Linked DNA regions of Oryctolagus cuniculus. The protein of the gene in region 1 interacts with the protein of each later gene in a pairwise test. Links are inferred from orthologs where the notes say so. Each region holds a gene or a part of one and is shown on either strand. Other genes may lie near its edges. The genes, in order: ATF4, CCDC106 and EGLN3.

What was found.
Region 2: the proteins of ATF4 (region 1) and CCDC106 interact in binary tests that used the Homo sapiens proteins (3 or more experiments, as listed by UniProt). The link is inferred for Oryctolagus cuniculus from reciprocal best matches to the Homo sapiens genes ATF4 and CCDC106.
Region 3: the proteins of ATF4 (region 1) and EGLN3 interact in a two-hybrid assay, tested with the Homo sapiens proteins (2 studies listed by BioGRID). The link is inferred for Oryctolagus cuniculus from reciprocal best matches to the Homo sapiens genes ATF4 and EGLN3.

What each region holds. Positions count from the first base shown.
Region 1 is NC_091442.1:115,754,876-115,758,617, reverse strand, and holds ATF4 (cyclic AMP-dependent transcription factor ATF-4), read right to left. Parts: upstream 2,403-3,742; 5' UTR 2,199-2,402; intron 1,751-2,198; 5' UTR 1,650-1,750; coding exon 1,433-1,649; intron 1,344-1,432; coding exon 535-1,343; 3' UTR 483-534; downstream 1-482. UniProt on the Homo sapiens protein: Transcription factor that binds the cAMP response element (CRE) (consensus: 5'-GTGACGT[AC][AG]-3') and displays two biological functions, as regulator of metabolic and redox processes under normal cellular conditions, and as master transcription factor during integrated stress response (ISR).
Region 2 is NC_091449.1:3,340,594-3,344,241, forward strand, and holds CCDC106 (coiled-coil domain-containing protein 106), read right to left. Parts: upstream 2,202-3,648; coding exon 1,979-2,201; intron 1,902-1,978; coding exon 1,725-1,901; intron 1,242-1,724; coding exon 1,029-1,241; intron 941-1,028; coding exon 624-940; 3' UTR 508-623; downstream 1-507. UniProt on the Homo sapiens protein: Promotes the degradation of p53/TP53 protein and inhibits its transactivity.
Region 3 is NC_091443.1:41,531,705-41,535,346, reverse strand, and holds part of EGLN3 (prolyl hydroxylase EGLN3), read right to left. Parts: intron 1,959-3,642; coding exon 1,839-1,958; intron 259-1,838; coding exon 122-258; intron 1-121. UniProt on the Homo sapiens protein: Prolyl hydroxylase that mediates hydroxylation of proline residues in target proteins, such as PKM, TELO2, ATF4 and HIF1A. Target proteins are preferentially recognized via a LXXLAP motif.

The DNA.
Region 1 (3,742 bases):
GACTGTGGCTGTCCCTAACGGCTGGCCCAGAACAGCGGGGTCTGGCCCCCCAGCTCAGGGCCAGTGCTGGGGCATAGCAGGTGAAGCAGCCTGCAGTGCCAGAACCCCATGTGGGTGCCAGTTCGAATCCCAGCTGCTGCAGCTCTCTGCTGTGGTGAGTGCTTGGGCCCCTGCATCTGTCAGCTCCAGGCTTCTGCTGCAGCCCAGCCCTGGCTGCCGTGGCCATTGGGTGTGTGAGCCAGCAGATGGAGGACCGTCTCCAACTCTGCCTTCGAATAGACAGCTCTCCCATGATCTGTGTGTGTGCAGGCTGGAGCCAGTGACCACCCCCACACACACACACAGGAACACCGAACAAGGAAGTTGCAGCCACTCATGGAGTGAGTGCCCGCCCCAGACCAGATCCCACCATCCCGCGTGGGACTCTTGTTGCCCGCCCCACCACGCCCAGAGGGTGTGAGCCACAGGACAACTCCCAGGAATGCTTTCACTACAAAATAATTTATTAACAGCGGAGCCTCCTGTGCGTGCGCCCTAGGCGGGGACCCTCCTCCTGCCGCGGGCCGCCCGCACCTCCTCCAGCAGGTCCTTGAGGTACTGGATCTCCTTGGCCAGGCCGTCGGCCCTCTCCCGCAGGGCCGCGTTGCGCTCCTCCAGCCCCCGGCACTCGCCCGCCAGCGCCTCCTGCTCCGCCCGCTTCTTCTGCCGGTAGCGCGTGGCGGCCGTCTTGTTCTGCTCCATCTTCTTGAGCTTCTTCTCCAGCTTCTCGCCCTTCACGCGCGCCGCCGCGGCCGCCGCAGGCTCGTAGGGCTTGGGGCGGGCCGGGGCGGGGGGGCCCCTGTGCGGGGAGCCCCTGGGGGTGGGGGCGGAGGGGCTGCGCTGCGGGGAGCCCGGGCAGGACTCGGGGCTCATGCAGACGCCGCTGTCGTTGTCGGAGGGGCTGTCCTCCTCCTTGACGCCCTGCGGGACCACGGGGCCCAGGCCGGGCGACTCGGGCTTCCGGTCCCCGTCCGCGATGTCCACCTCGCTGCCCAGCTCCAAGCTGAACGACTCATCCGGGGAGGCGGCCGCGACCCCCAGCGACAGGGGCAGGGGCTGCAGGAAGGTGCAGGGGGCGACCTGCGGCAGGCTCGCGGGGAGGGGGCCGAGCGGGCTCCCTGCCTGGGGCGGCTCCTTGAGCGCGTCCAGGGCCAGGGGGGCGAAGAGGTCGCACGAGTCGTCCAGCGTGGCCAGCAGCTCGTCGGGCACGGCCTCCAGGTCGTCCAAGCTCAGCAGGGCGTCGAAGTCGAACTCCTTGAGGTCCACTTTCTCCAACATCCAGTCCGTCCCGGAGAAGGCGTCCTCTGCGGGGGCGCGAGCGAGGGCGCGTGAGGCCGGCGCCCCCCCCCCGACACGGGCGCCCCCTCCCACCCCCACCCCCCGCGGCGCTCACCCTTGCCGTCGGCGGGGGCGCCCAGCAGCCCGTCCGCCGCCAGCCATTCCGAGGAGCCCGCCGCAGCCTTGTCGCCGGGGGGCCCGGGAGGCTTCCAGGGCGTGGCCACCTCCAGGTAGTCGTCCAGGAGCCCCAGGCCCTCCTCAGCCCCCAAAGCCGCCTGGTCGAAGGGGGACGCCAAGTCCCCCGCCAACCCCGCGCTGTGCAGGAAGCTCATGTCGGCCGTGTCGCGGGGCTGCGCTGGAACCGGGGCAGGGGCTCAGCTCGAAGGTGTCTCTGTCCGTGACAGCAACGCTGCTGCTGGGTGCCGTGAGGAGCCTGCGGGCGAGCGGCAGGGGCGCCATCAGGGCGGGGGCCGGCCGGGCGGCAGGTGCACAGCGGCCATGGCCGCCCCCGCCGGGGCCGGCGCCCGGCCCGCCCGCCCGGCCCCGCCCCGTGACTCACCCCGCGCCGCCTCCCGCCGCCATCTTGGCCGCCGCCACGTTTCGCGGGGCGGCCACCGCGACCCCCGCCGGCGCAGAGCGGGGGCCGGGGCTCCGAGGACAGCGCGCCCCCACCTCCCCGGGGACGCGGGCGCCGGGCCGCGCTCTCCCGACCCCGCCCAAGGACACGCAAGCAGGAACCACGCGTCCCCGGCGCTCGTAAAACCGCTTCCGCCTCGGCGACGCGGCCCCGACCCCCGGCCGCAGGCCGCGCCCAAGCCCAGGCCCAGGCCCAGGGCCCGCAGACGCCGGGCCCCGGCCCCCTCGCCCGGCCCGGTACTCACGCCATGGCTTAAGCCGCTGGGGGTTGCCGCTGCAGAGCCTGGTGCTGCTGCCGCCGCTGCAAAGGCCAACGCTGCCGCAGGCACTGCTGCCTCTAATACGCCATGGTGGCCGCGGCCCTGCGGGACGGGAGGAGGAAGGGCACGGCTCGCAAGAGATCTACATCGACGGGCGGGCGCAGCGGTAATGGCGGCGGCGCGCGGCCCGCCGGGCTTTTATAGACTTGGTCGCCTCCGAGCCGCATCACAGGACGCATCCTTCCGCCGCGGCCATGTGACCCGCGCCTCCTGCCCACTCCCCGGCGTCCCCACCACTTTCCTCCCCCGAGCTTTTATGTCCGAGGCGTAGCCATGTACAGAAAAGTAGTTTACTTTCAAGATCTCACGTCGGGAAAAAGGCGCACTACTTTACAAGGCGTCCAAGATCAAAGAGTCTCGTCCTTTCCCCCTCGGATGCCCGGATGCGCGGAGGGATCTCTCTCAGGGGCGGGGCGTGAAGAGCCTTTCATTCCAAGGAGGCTTTTTATTGTGAAGGCCGAGGCCGCCCGGCTATCGCGCGAGACGCTGGCGGGGAGCGCGCGTCGAGATGATTGGCTCAGGCCTGAGGAGTCATATATACCTTGAGCTCCTATTGGCTCAGGGCCCGAGGGGGGCGGGCCACTCGGCGAAGGGGCCCGGGTCTGCGCGGGAAAGGGCGGGAGCGGCCTGGCGTGCAGCCGTGCCTTTGGTTGTAGCCTCGGCGGCCGCAGCGGTAGAAATCAGCGCCCAGCGGCCTCCGAGCGAGCCCGCCGCGAGCGGGCCCGGGCCTCGGGGCCGGGGAGCCTGCCGCCGTCCGGGGCCGGCTCTGCGTCCTCCCGCTGACCTCCGCGAGCCGCTGGCCAGCCTGCGTGTCCGCGGCGCCCTTTCTGCTGCAGGGCGTCGCTGCGGGGACGCCTCTGGCCTCTGCAGGCTCAGCCCCGCTGCGACCCCGGGTGGTTCCCACGAGCTCCGGACAAGGCCCGGTGGCCCTGCGGGGGACAGGAGTTCCCGGGGAGCCGGGCCCCGGCCCGCAGAGCTCCACTCCCGCGTCCCTTCCGCGAGCGCTGCTGGCTGGACAGACAACCTGCCCTGGGGCCAGGGCCACCCTTCCCAGGGTGCACGGGCAGCCCCGGCGCCCCCGTCTGTTGGCGGACACTGGCCGTGCTGGGGCCCGGCCCGCGCGCGGGACGCGCTCCCGCCACGCTAACTCGGGGTCCCCACTCCCGGCTACCCCTGTGGGGTCACTCTGCTTCCTCAGGGGGCTCCTCCCGGAACTGACCGGCGGCCGAGGCCTAGGGCGCGGCACTCTGCCCGGGGGTCAGGAGGAAGGCGGTGGGGGTGGGACTCCCGCGCCGCCACCGCGACCCCGCATCCATCCCGGGAGTCCCGCCCGCTCCCTGCTGATGCGCCCGGGAGAGCCGTGCTTGCGCCCCTGCGCCCACGTGGGCGACCCGGCGGAGTTCCAGCTCTTGGCCATCTGGGGAACGAACCAGATGGAAGAACTCCTAATTTTTGCCTTTCAAGTAAAG
Region 2 (3,648 bases), on another chromosome or scaffold:
CAGCAGCAGCCTTCGGGCTGGAGGGCGCGCGCGGCCGCTGCGGAGGTTGCCAGCGCGGCTCTGCGCGCCTGCGCAGGGGCTGAGGCGGGCTATTGCGGCTGCGCGGAGGTCGGTCTGAGGCGGGGTGGCGGTGTCGGGTTCCAGGGCCCCCACTGCGCGTGCGCGAGGCTTTCCCTGCCTAAAAGGAGTCCGAGTTCCCGACCGTTAAGCACGACCGCCCGCTCCCGGTTGTCTTGGCAACTGCGTCCGCGCTCTCGCACCCCTGCCGCCGCGCGCACGCGTGGAAGGCGGTGGAAGCACCACTTCCGGGACGCGGCCAACGTCGCGCTGCTGCCCCCTGGCGGCAGACGGCCGCCGTGCCACGCCGCGCCGCGCCCGGGGACCGCCCATGCCGGGGGTCGTCGGGCCCCGCGCCGCTAACGCACGGCGCCGCCCCCGGGGGGCTCGCCCCACCCTGTGCTCCCCAACCCCTCGCTTCCCCTCCGAGGAAAACGCTGGGGCCCAGTCTGTGCCAAAGCGTCACGTCTCTGTTTTATTTTTAATTTTTTAACTTAAATTCCGGGCGCCGTCTGCCCGAGCGTCACGTCTCTCGTCTTTCTTTATTGGATCTGAGCGAGCACGGGTCACCGCTTGAAGCGGTAGGTGATGGGCAGCAGCAGCTTGCTCTTCTTGAGCGCCTGCACCTTCTTGAGCGTCTCGTCGTCCAGGGCCAGGAAGCAGCGGCGCGAGTACTCGAGCAGGCGCTCCTTGGAGGGGTCGAACTCGCCCACCTCGGCCAGCTTCTCGGGGGCCACGATGAGCAGCTCGGCGATGGGCGTGGTCAGCGCCACGGTGTTGCGGTCCACGCGGTGGTGCTCGAAGGCCCGCGACATGCTCTTGAGCTTCTGGAAGGTGCCCAGGATCTTCTTGTAGCGGCACAGCACGCCGTCGGCGTCCTTCACTGCGGGGGGACAGCGGGCGGCGGTCAGGGCCGGGGCCGCGGCGCGCGGGGCCAGGGCGCGCGCCCCGGGGCCTCGGCCCCCGCTCACCCCGCTGCCGCTCCCGGGCCTTGGGCTTCCCGAAGCGCCTCCGGCCGGCGCCCGCCCGCGGCCTCTGCCTCTTCCTCTCGCCGGCGCTGCCTTCCTCGGACGCGGCGCTGAGCGACGAGGCGGCCGACTCCAGGTCCGAGGCCTCGCCCCCCGCGCCGCCGCGGCTGTCCCCCTCCGCCCGCCGGGGCCCCGGCTTGGCCCGGCAGTGGTCCTCTGGGGGTGGGATGGGGGGCGGGGGAGAGCAAAGCCCGCAGGTGAACGGCGGGCCCAGGCCGGACGCCTGGCGGCCGCGCTGACCCGCAGAGCCCCTGGAGGGCAGTGGGAGCCCGGGAGACAGGGGCTCTGGGCCTGGTAGGCCGGGGACAGCCAAGGCCTCCAGCTGCACCGGGGGCGCTCCCCGGGGACACGGGTGCTGGAAAGGCCCTGTACTGGGCTCCCCAGGGGCCCGACCGTCGCGGGAATCATCCGCGGGGGAGACAGCCAGATCCTGACAGCGTGGGCACGGGCACCACGGGCCCGTGCGTGGCGCCGGGTTTGGGGAGGAGGGGGCTCGCAGAGAGAGGGGCAGCAGGGGCCCCGCTGGGGCTGGGCGGCGGTCAGCACGCGTGGGTCCGCCAGTAAACCGGCCGGGCTGCTGCTGGTCCTGGACCAGCACGGGAGGGGGCAGGGGCACGGGGTCGCGGCCCGCGCGCCCACCTGCGTCCACGCGCGCGGAGGAGATGAACTTGTCCAGCTGGCAGCGCAGGAAGTCCCGCTCCTCCTCCAGGTCCTCGATGCGCTTCTGCAGCCACGAGTTCCTCTCCAGGGCCAGGTGCAGCTGCGCCTTGACGCTGTTCATCAGGGCCAGGGTGGGCGACGCGGCCTCCGCGGGCTCTGCGGCGGGGAGCGCACCGGTCACCCTGCGGGCCGGCGGCCCCGCGCCTCCGCGCCCCCGCGCCCCCGCCGCTCACCCTCGAAGCCCGCCTGCGAGGAGTTCAGGCTGTAGAAGAGCTGCGAGTCCAGCGGGGGCGCCTCCTCGAAGGGGACGGAGACCTCAAAGCCCTCATCGTCTTTCTTCACTGGACAGGAGAGGCCCGCGGTCACGCGCCAGGCGGCCGCAGGCCCCGCCGGGGCCGCCCCCCACCGCGGCCCCGCGTCCTCACTCGTCCGCCTCCGGCCGCTCCGCTCGTTCATCGCCGGGCTTTCTGTGGACCCCGCAGCGGAGCGCCTCAGGGGCACTGGACAGAAACAGCAGCCACAGATGGAGGGGCCCGCCCGGGGTCTGGGGGGGAGGGGACCCCATGCTCCAGGACCCAGAGCTGCGGGCGCCTAGCCGAGACCCGGACGGACGGCTGGGGCCTGGGCACCCCGGGGCTGCTGGGGCACAGGGAGCCCCTGGCCCGCACGGCGAGGACCCCCCGCAAGGGGTCTCTGCAGGCCCAACCGAGCCGCAGGTGCAGGGAGAAGCTGCCCCAACTTCGGCCCACGCGCGGCGACTCCCGGCTCCCGGTCGTCCCACGCCCCTCCCCCGCACTCGCCTGGAGCCAGCAGGGCCCCTCCCCCATGACGGGGGGGGCTGGGCGCGTGCGCAGTGCGGGGGAAGGTCACGCGTGGGCATGCGCCCCCCGCCCCCGCCCTTTGTCCCGCGGGTGGGAGGGGGAGCGGCCGTGGCGGGGGGGGGGATTGTCCCTGCAATAATAGGCCAAGGGTGCGGACGCGGCCACCATCCCCCTCCCCACCTCCCCCGCCCCGTGCCCCGGGTCCGAGGGGCCGGAGCTGCCCGCGCTCACCCACCCGCGCGCGGAATCTGGGCCGCGGACCGACGGCGGCGGCGGCGCCCATGCCCGGCGCGGGGGAGCGTCTGCAAAGTGTCACAGAGAGCGAAGGGAGGCGCCCACCCGCCCGCGAGCGGGCGGGGCGGCGGCGGAGCGGGTCTCCGGACTGGGCGGCGGAGCGGGACGCGGGGAACTCGGCGAGGCAGGGTCCAGCCGGCCCGGCGCCTCTCCTCCCGGAGCCCTGGCACCCAGGTGAGACCCCGCCGTTTTCGGCAGAGGCCGGGGGCCGCACTTGCGCGACGGCCCCTTACAGCACTCCCCCGCCCTGCACGAAGCTCAGGCAGGGAGCGTCACGAAATTCCCATCCCAGCGAGATGGTTTGGCTGCAGGGGTCCCTCGGGTGGGTGGCGACGGTCCCCCGAGAAGGGGAGGGCGGTGTGGGAAAGTTGAAGAGGAGGAAGATCGTGGTGTGTGTACCCAGGGCCCGGCCAGGGCAGACCCCACGATCGGTTCCCAGGAAGGGGAGGGTCCCCCTCTCCCCGGGAAATGAGGGGTTCAGAGGCTGCGTGCCAGCCCGGAGGACGTGCTTCCGGCCTCAGTGTGCTCACCTGTAGAATGGGGGAATCCGACCCCTCCCGGCACCGCGCGGTGGTGGACACGCGCAGCAAGCCCGCCCCCGCACCTGTCCACAGTCAGACGGCGGGGTAGGGGGCACAGCCGCGGCCCCTTCGCGGCGGGAGGCTCGCGCGGAGCAGGCAAGGCACGCGGGGTGGGAAGGCAGGCGTTTATTAACCCCGAGGCCCGGCCGGCCGCGCCTGCGCCCCCGGGAAAGCTGCGGGCAGGGGCCCCGCGGGGCCGCGCGCCCT
Region 3 (3,642 bases), on another chromosome or scaffold:
CCAGATGCATTTGCCATTGGCTCCGAGGTGTGAGGAACTCCTGTGCACCAGAATTCAGAGCGTCCCCTGGGAACTGGGGCCCGCATGAGCTCCTGAAGAGGAATCATAGCCCCACCGTTACCTGGTGGCGTAGGAAGGCTGCACCTCATGTGGATTCCTGCGGTCCGACCAGAAGAACAGCAGTCTATCGAAAATGGGCTCCACATCTGCTACGAACGACTTCCCTTCTGGAAATATCCTCAGGATCCCACCATGTAGCTGCAGGACCACAAGAAGGTAGATCATTTCCTGGCCTCACACAGGGTTTATCAACAACAACATTTCAGCCCCACCTGGAAACAATGCCATTCTCCGAGTTTTACTTCCTCCTCACCCTTGGTACCAAATTGTATTGCAAACTTGGCTAAGAAACTTCTCCTTATGCACCTCATTTCCAATCAAACCCTTGCCACTGAGCGATCATGAAACCAGCTCATGGACACAAAATAGATTAGCATTAGAATGGACCACAGAGAAGTGCCAATGTGTGAGTGGTTTTGACTTTGACTTACAAAAACAAAACCAACCAACCAACCAACCCCAGCCGTTTCATATGGTTCCATCTAATAGCAGTAGCTTCCTAAGATGATTCCCACTTCTCCAGTTGGAATTCACAGGTTTTGCCAAATTCCCCAAGCTCCTATCCAACCCTGTTAGCACAAGTTATAAGCTCTTTTCTTCCACCATCTTATCAGCCCCTCCTACTACACGTTAACTCTTTCTTGAATTACTCATCTTTTTCTACATGTGTCCTCAATCTGTCTTCCCAGAATTACTACAATCAAAGGAGCATTCCGGCCCTCTGTATCAGCGCATCCCTACAGCACAATGCCTATCACTGAAAGGAACTCAAATCTTTGTCCAACGACTTCACACTCTGCTCTGCGCATTGTTTTTATTGACCTAATAACTTGACGCTCTTGCCTACAGGGTTTTCAAGGGGACCGAATGGATGTGTTTCAGTCATGTTACTCAAGAGGGAGACGAAGAGACAAGCCTTGTCACTCACTCACTGCTTTCCCAGGTTTCGTTTCTATGACCCTGGAGAAAATATCACTGCTTTATGGCAGCCAGCATCTGCCCCGAAAGAACAGGAAATGGAGTCGCAGAAAGTTCAAAAGCCAAATAAGCTTCCAAAGTCCTCCAACTTCCCAGAGTCCTAAATCACACTCAACTTTCAGAAAGTATACAAAGTCCAGACAAATGCTGGCACACATGGAGCCAGACTTTGATTTTCCTCTTTCTCTACGTGTTCTAAAATACAAAAATAAGCCACCAAGCCTCTGGCACTCATAAAGCACAGTATGCTGTGGCAAGCAGCCATTAATGAGATGTAGCACCCTGAGAAAGAGGCGTGCGAAGGAGCTCTCTCTTGGGGATGGTTTTGCTTTGGATCCTATAGTTCTATTTTTGTGCTGTCCTCTCAGTGCTACTGTTGGGAGGGAAACATGTACATCCTATTTTGCAGTGAGACTCATATCAGCTCTGAATTACACTAAAAAAAATCCATCTGTAATCCTAACATCAAATTACCTTCCCTTTGTCAACCACCCATCCCACCCCTTAATAATCACCGTAGCTACCCACCCCCAAGGCAGTTTCACATACATGATCTTCATCTCACCAATTCTAGCACTAATTCCAGGGTGGGGAGGAGGGGAAGGAAAACGTGAGAGACATAGAAAGATTCATCAGCGGGAGATAGAGAGCTATTATGAACTCAAAACTCTCCTCTGAATTATCTGAATTCTTTTCCATCGTTTCCTAACTCCACACACACTCCCATTATTCCACGGTACCTTGGCATCCCAGTTCTTGTTCAGGTAGTAGATGCAGGTGATACAGCGGCCGTCACCATTGGGATTGTCCACGTGGCGAACATAACCTGCTCCGTTTCCTGGATAGCATGCCACCATCGCCTATGAGGAAATCCCAAGAAAGCTGGTTAACAACACTGAAACAAACTTCTCCTCCCACTGGTGAGCAGACAGTGACACAGTCTCCTTGGATATGTATGACATGTATGACATGTGTGGCTGCTGGCTTCCTAGCTGCATGTGTAGTGTGTCTGTTTGGACTCCCCAGCATGTAAGATGAACAGCCAGGTCATGCCTTGTGGCTCAGCCCAGAGGGAAGTGGTGTGGCAATACTGCCACAGCTCTAGGACATTTGACAGTCTTCTTTCTGTCCATGGACACGATGCTCTGCCTTTCTTCAAAACTCCTTTGGTGAGAAAACCACTTATGGTTACCATTCTAGGTCCACAAAACCAAAATCATGAGAGGTACAGCTTAGGGATTATGTCTGTTTAATGAATGCCTCTGAATCACCGTATCACTCGGTCTTACAAGAACAGCTAGATCCTTGTATTTGCGAGAAGAACCAATCACCAAAAAGGTCAGGCTTGCTCAATACAATGTTTAGGACAGAAGGGAAAGAGAAGGGTCAACAAGAGGCTAATGTGTTAGCACAGACAACGCAGCGGAATCCCCCGCAGGGAAAACCAAACACTTACAGTATGTTTCTGAATACTCTTCCTCCTACCTGGGAATTCGGAAATGAGGAGCTAATATGAAGCCCTCCTCCTCTGTGTATCATACAGCTGGAGGAATAAAGCAGAAAGCCTTCCTGAAAATCCTCTGAGAGGGTAACAAACCTGATTGTTCCAGGGGAACTTTGTAAGAGTAGGGGAAAAAGGGGCAAAGTACAAAAAGCCAGTTCTTGTCTTCACAGGACACTGCCGTACTTTAAAGACATTTTTTATAGGTCTGTGATATATGTAGAGAAACTAAGAAAACCTGCAACGTAAGACATCGGCAAAGACTTCTTTCCTGCTCGGTTTGCTGATGCATTCTTGGTACCTGGGACAGTGCCCGATACGAAGAATCCTCTTAAAATCCGGTGAATGAATCAATGAATTAGTGAGAAGCTGTTTCGCTAACGAATAAGTTCACATTCCACCTAGGTTGATTGCTTTTTTTATAATTTTAAAAAGCCTATCTCCAAACACACATATAGGGATCCAGTTCATATACACCCTGACAAGTGACAGAATGGCTTCATTAGTAAAATGACTAGTTGGGTAGAGCCCCAAACTAACATGCTAACGGATCAATGGACAAGCTTCAATGTAGTTGCTAAATCACTCCCCCCAGCAGCATGAAAACATGGCACAAGGCATCACATACAATGCAAGCTAGAATAATAAGGCTGAATGGTGACTTGGCTTTAGAGACATCTAAAACCTTAAGTCACCATTATCTCTCACACTTTATAACTTCATGAATTAGCAATGCCTATATCCTGCCTTCGCACACCAAAATATCAATGCAATGTCATCCCTAGAACTGAAGCTCGACTGTTAGCTTGAATGTCTTTCAGAAGGTGGAATGTCAAGGCAACTGCAATAAATTAACAAACGATGGACACGTAATTGGTAGCAGAGATGCTGGGCCAAGCTGGAAAGGAAGAGATAAATGAAGTCACTTCCAATGAGCAGGGAATTACCCACCATCCCTGGAAGCGGCTATTTGGATTGTTAGAGCCACCACTGAGCCAGTAATGAAAGTCACTCAAGCCACAAACAGTCACTGGCTGGATTTC